2 linked regions of the Oryzias latipes genome follow. The protein of the gene in region 2 purifies or fractionates together with the protein of the main gene of each other region. This does not show direct contact. Links are inferred from orthologs where the notes say so. Each region holds a gene or a part of one and is shown on either strand. Other genes may lie near its edges.

Region 1 (3,053 bases), on a different chromosome or scaffold from region 2:
CAGGGAATGCACATGGGGGGTCAAGGAGGAACAAATGTCAACATGAGCCCCATGGCTCAGTTGCAGCAGGTCCAGCAGCAGCAGCAGCAGCAGCTTCAGCAGTTGCAGCAGCAGCAGTTGCAGCAGCAGCAGAGGCCAATGCTCAGTGGGTTACAGCAGCAGCAGGTTGCAGCTCTCCAGCAGCAGCAACAACAGCAGCAGCAGCAGCAAGGCGTGGGTCGAGGAATGCCGGGTCAGGGGCCCCAGATGGGAAACCTGAACGGAGCCCAGTTTAGAGAGTTGCTGATGAGAAAGCAGCTACAGCAGCAGCAACAACAACAACAACAGCTGCAGCAACAACAGCTGCAGCAGCAACAACAGCAGCAACAGCTGCAGCAGCAGCAGCAACAACAACAGCAGCAGCAGCACCAACAACAGCAGCAGCACATGGGAGTAAACCACAGTCAGTTCCAACAGCCACAGCCCCCCCAGGGGCAGGGCTTCATAGGGCAGCAGGGCATGCAGCCTCCAGCAGTGGGGCAGGGGCCTCCTGGGGGGCCACCCCTTCAGCAGCCCGGTGGACAGCCGGGTCAGCAGGCACCAAGTTACCCCGGATCAGTCGCTCAGCAGCAGGCCACGGTTGCACTGCAGCAGAGACTGCAGCACCAGCACCACCTCCAGATGCAGCAGCAACAGAACGCCATGGGGGGTGATGTAGGGCCAGGTGGAGGGAGTATCAGTGGTCCGCAGCAAGCACCCCAAGTCCCTCAACCCACCCAAATTGGACCCCCACCTTCAACCGCTCAAGCCCGGCTTCAACAGACTCTGCACCAAAGGATGTTCCATCAGCAGCAGCAGCAGCAGCAGCATCTCGGCCCGGGAGGGTCACCGGCCCAGCACACCAACCCCATGAGCCCCCAGCAGCCTCAACAGGTGAACCAGTCCCCCCACCCGCACCTGCAGGGACAGGGCATGTCCACATCTCTGGCCAACCAGGTCCGGTCCCCACAGCCCTCACCCAGACCTCAGTCCCAGCCGCCTCACTCCAGCCCGTCCCCACGCATGCAGCCACACCCCTCCCCGCTTCACATCTCCCCCCAGATGCAGACGGGCTCTCCTCATCCCAACCACCTGAACCAGCACCATCCAGGAATGATGGCACCTCAACAACCACAACCGCCAGCAGCCCAGCAGAACGCCATGGAGCCGTTCGGCTCGGATGAGATGCTGTCCCAGCTGAGCAGCATGGCTGGTCTGCACGGGCCAGGCGGCAGCGGTCAGGACCCAATGGGCCCCAACATCGGCCACAGCTCCTTAGACCACATGTAGGGTGGTCGTCAGCGTGTGGAGCGGAGCGGAGCGGCAGTGGAAATCCGCACAAACTGCACTCACCCAGGACAGTGTTATTGTTATTACTAAGCTTTTTTTAAACTATTATTAAATGTTATTTAAAATGTTTTCAATAAAGATGCATTGAACTGAACTTCCTATGGGAGATGAACATGAAATCAAGCAGTCGTTAAATGAATGAAAATGAATTGTAACTTATTGCTGTTAAATGTTTTCTTTGCCAATTAGGGATGGGGGGGGGGGGGTCTTTCACATATCATCCCACAAGTCACCCCGTGTACTGCAGAGGAAAGTTGATTCTATTTTTTTGAGGGGGGGTATGTGAAAAAAGTACTTGCCTTTTGAAAAACTGTTCTGTTTTTATAGGTTTTTAAAGTCCAAAATTATGATTTAATGCAAATATCTTTATATCAGTTGAGCTCCTTTTTTTATTTTATTCTTTGGGGCCTTTTTTTGTTTTTGTTTACGCTTCACCTCAAATCCAAACATGATGCTTTTTTTTTTCTTTCCTTTTTCTAATGTTTGGGTTTTATTTATTCTTTTCCTTCTGGGGGTGGGCGTCTAGGAGACTGCTACAGTTCCTACAGAAATATATTTTTGGTATTGACTGTTAAGATGGGGGGGGGGTTAGTATATGTTATTTCACTTTAGATGTCTTGAGTTGGGAGTGATGTCAGTGTTTGATTGCAGTGCGCTCTGCGCCGGAAGGGCGGCGGCGGACACATCTTTGGAAGCCCTCTCCAACATGCAAGCCCCCTCCCTCGAATGTGTGTGCACTCCTTCCTGTTAAAGACACTTCAAATGGAGCTGTAGAGCTTTGGGGAGGGGGGGTGCATACCTTTGTGCCTGTAACATTTTAAATACCTGGGGTGGGGCGGGCTTGTTCTAGTGTTTTTAGGATTCTGCTGTTTTCTGTAAACAGAGGATGATGATGATGATGATCCAAATGAACTGTGTTGCACAGAAACGAGGAGAAAGAAGGAGACCCCCCCCCACACACACAAATACACCCGACTCGGTCTCTTTCTCCCTCGTCCCCTTTGCTGCTTCCCTCAACTTTATATCCTCCTCTGGGGGGGACGTGGAGCTCCTTCTTTACAAACTCCATCCTCTTTATCTTTCTGCTCAGAACTTTGGGAGTTTAATTTAATATTTTTTACTGTACAAAGGAAACAAACTGGACTCGAATACTGTTTTTATAATAAAACAAAAATTACCAATTTGGTTGTGTCTTCTAAGGATATTTCTTCAAAAGATGCACTTCCTGCTTCTACCTTAGATTTAGAATGAAGTTTTTTGTTTACAAACAAAACAAAGGTAACAGCCTGCCATGCAGTAATGCAATGAGTTTCCAAACTCTTAGAAAACCAAAGTATGCGTTTGGTTTCTGTTCAGCAAAATGCAAAAAAACAAACAAACCTGACTTTCAGCACTGAAAATGCTGAAAGTTGCTTTTTTTCTCCAAAACATTTTTCTTTTATTCTGAATAATTACAAAGGAAAGAAGGAAGCTGGACACAAATATTAAAATGTCAAAATTGGAATAATGGATTTAAGGTGTTCAAACACCCCAAAGCCCGCTATCAGACCGCTCTGCTTTCCGTAAATCTTCAGCTTTAAATCGCTTGGAGTAATACTCCCTCTAGCGGCCGTAGATGTTATTGCGACCTGATATGTGTTCAACGGAGTTCGAGAAGGGTCAAAAAAGATTTCGTTTATTCTGAC
Region 2 (3,500 bases):
GCCCTGGACTCTGACAGCGTCACCAAGAGCCACCACAACTGTGAGTCCTGTGTGTGCTTACTGTCAGGATGAACACAAACATGAGCCCTTTCAATAATGCACTTTTTTTGATAAAAAAACGAGGCTCTTAGTTGAAACAAGTGTTTAATACTGACTCAAATTCAAATTAAATATATTAATAGACAATAAAGACATTACCCCAAAAATTGAATTATTAAAGATATGTATATTATTAATACTTGTTGAGTGAGGTGGGCTTTAGAAAGGTAATAATGTCATGGTGAAATTATAGCCTTAATGATAATCAAAATACTTTAATAGTATTGGAATCTCGATATTAAAGACCCACTCCCATAAAAAAATAGTGTTTCTGGCATTTTTAACATGTTTTGGTGGCCTTTTTCTGAAGATGGAGGACTTATATATAAAGAAATGTGATCTTAAATTTGCATTTGTTTATTCAAATTGTTATGAATCAGGAACAGAAAAAAGATTAGATCAATTTGCATTTTTGTTTTCCTTGTCTGAGCTGGAATCTGGCTCAAAACTTTCCAGCTGGATAGCTCCAATATTGCTCACTATTTTTGTTGCACTGGTGATGTTGGTTTAGGGGTGTGAGGGGATGTAAGCTAGCAGGAGAGTGTGTAAACGCAGAAACTGGGAGGGGAAGGGGGGTTGCTTAGTGCTAAGGTCCCCCCACACACAACTCAGAGGTGAATTTCTTATGAACTACTGCTGCTCTGCAGAAACTATGTCATAGAAAAACGACAGTCTTTGTGATTTTGGCTAATGACTGCACCAGCGTATTTAAAAGGCCACTGGGAACACTTTTACAATAGATCAAAGATAATCGGATTCAGTCTCTAAAGCCTGACCGTGTTCAAGTCTAATGTTGTTACAAAAAGTATAAAGATCTATATCATTTGGTTTTCATTACCTGTTTTTTAATACATATAATAGTGTAAAGTTAAATGCCAGTCACATGCATCGCCTGTTTTCATGCGTTTGTTTCCAGAGCAGGATCAGGGTATTAAGAAGTGTTTGATCAAATTAAGGGAAGCCACCGATGGTCTGATGAGGTTTGCACACATCTGGTGCCACAAACACAGTGGACACGGGGACCAGGTGGCCTCCATTACAATCTAATGACACTGTTTGTGAGTGTCTGTGTGCAGACGAGGCTGCGGGTGTCATGGCTATTCTCTGCTCTGACAGTACAGGATCATTAGAGGCTTTGAGCTGCACTGTTAGGAACTCCTTAAAGCCCCCCATGCACAAATAAAGTGTTTGTGTGTTTGTGCAGCAGAAAAAAGGAGCGACTCTGGAGTCAACATAGTTTCATCTGTTTATTCAATTTTAGGATCTGCTTTAGCAACCAAGACCCACCTATACAAGCTGTATTTAGAATGATTGCACTATTCAGACGTACATTCTAAAGATCCTGGGCTCCTAAACAGAACTTTTTTTTCAACCGTTGTCATGTTTCAAGGCTGCCTTGATTTGGTCTGAAACTGAAAAGCTTCATATTTATATTTTATTTTTTTATCTTTTTGGCTCCAAATCATCTGCGTCCAAAGACTTTAGATAAAGGACGCTCTATCTCCATCCCACACACACCCACGACCTGCTCTCACGGCCAACGTGACCAGCCTGCCAATCAGAACATGCTAAAGGATGTAGCTGCTGAGTGGAAAGCTGCCACAGCCTTTTCTCCAAAACTACTACGCAGTCACACACACGGGCGCACACACATTCTCAATGTCATTGGCCTAATGTACGATCTCTGACCAGTCCTGCTCTTTTCCCACGCCAGTTCTGAACTCTGGACTGGAGCCAGCGCATGTCCTCCTTGCAAAGTCAAACATCCAGCTTTTTCCTACTAACAAATGTTTGACTGATTGGAAATCCCTGATGGAAAACAATTTTTATTTGATCTCATTTGAAAAATGTTACATTTTATTAGTAGGAACATAACACTGTCCGAAATAGCAATAAGTTTAAACTTTGAGTGTAGATGATATTAGTGGAAGTGGTTATTAAAATATTTATACATTTTGTGGTAGAAACACCAAATTCAGCATGATTTTACATTTGGAACCCCTCTTTCAGAAAAGCACATTTGCCACAAGAAAACACAAGATTTCAAAGTGTATATATTATATACACATATAATAGTATTCTGTAGGTACCACTTTGAAGTTGAAATACTGCATTTTGTGCATTAACAGCCCATATTGCTGAGACTGAGCAATTAGACTGAGCAATTGAGTGAAATGACTCAATCCATTTACAACCTGGAAGAAAGTTCCAGCAAAACCAGGCAGAAAGAACATAAACCATGACTGGTTAAGGTCACAGAACAGAAGAAGACAGAGTAAAAGTACATCATCGTTAGCAGATCTTCCATATTTCTTCATGATTTATTCCCCTAAAACTGTTACAGATTTCGTTTGAAATGCATTACACCTACATGTCACAGGTTTTAAGCATTAGTTTTCTTCATTTGTTTGTTAGGACTCTTGGCAAAAACAGTCTTTAATGGATTTCATTTGCCAACAAAAAATAATACTTTATTTACTTTCTTTTTAAAATTCCAATAACTAGGCTTTTGATTTTTTAGCTAAATAAATCCAAACCCTTGTAGCCACTCCTTCCATCTCTTTTAAAGGTTATGAGATGGGACTAATTGTAAACTTAGCCAACACTATCTAACTGCAAACTTGAGTATCAGCAGGAAGCGCTTGGTGTCTCTTAATTTAACACATTGTCTGTTTTCATTGTGTCCACAGTGTGTAGCAAGGGTCAGGCAGTCAGCGGTCAGTATCGCATGCTGGCTAAGAAAGGCGGCTATGTGTGGGTGGAAACCCAGGGAACCGTCATTTATAACAGCCGAAACTCTCAGCCACAATGCATCGTCTGCATCAACTACGTCCTCAGGTGAGACCTGTCACTGCAGTGAGCTCAGGTCTTCCAAAGGTTTTAACCAAACTCTTCTACATGGTAAATATCACAAACTATGTTCTAATTTGCCTTTCTTGTCTCCCTGCAGTGACATTGAGGACAGGGCTGTGATATTCTCTTTGGAGCAGACAGAGTCTCTGTTCAAGCCGCAACACATGAACAGCTTCTTCAGCGCTGGAGGAGCAGGCATGAATGGGGAGCCAGGAGACTCCCTGTTCAGCACCCTAAAGGAGGAGCCAGAGGACCTTGCACAGCTGGCTCCAACACCTGGAGACACCATCATTTCTCTTGATTTTGGTAAGCCTTGTACTTTTTGAAAACTTATAGGGGCAACACTGTCCTGTGTTACATTCCTAAATATATTTTTTGAAGTTCTATTCAAAAGTTTTCCTTTCTTCTGACTCCTTGTAGGTCGATCTGAGTTTGAGGAGCCTCAACATCCATCATCATTCACACCGGCATCTGCTTCAGCCATGCCCCCGCTGGGACCTTTGTCCTGGGCAAGTGAGAGCCACAAACCTGGGTCCAATGCAGTTCCA

The links.
Region 1: the proteins of endothelial PAS domain-containing protein 1 (region 2) and histone acetyltransferase p300 purify together in Homo sapiens (affinity purification with western blotting; 4 studies listed by BioGRID and IntAct, with this or other methods). This does not show direct contact. The link is inferred for Oryzias latipes from reciprocal best matches to the Homo sapiens genes EPAS1 and EP300.

What each region holds. Positions count from the first base shown.
Region 1 is NC_019866.2:19,344,869-19,347,921, reverse strand, and holds the end of histone acetyltransferase p300, read left to right. Parts: coding exon 1-1,308; 3' UTR 1,309-2,553; downstream 2,554-3,053. UniProt on the Homo sapiens protein: Functions as a histone acetyltransferase and regulates transcription via chromatin remodeling. Acetylates all four core histones in nucleosomes. Histone acetylation gives an epigenetic tag for transcriptional activation.
Region 2 is NC_019873.2:14,300,830-14,304,329, forward strand, and holds part of endothelial PAS domain-containing protein 1, read left to right. Parts: coding exon 1-40; intron 41-2,789; coding exon 2,790-2,937; intron 2,938-3,049; coding exon 3,050-3,258; intron 3,259-3,372; coding exon 3,373-3,500.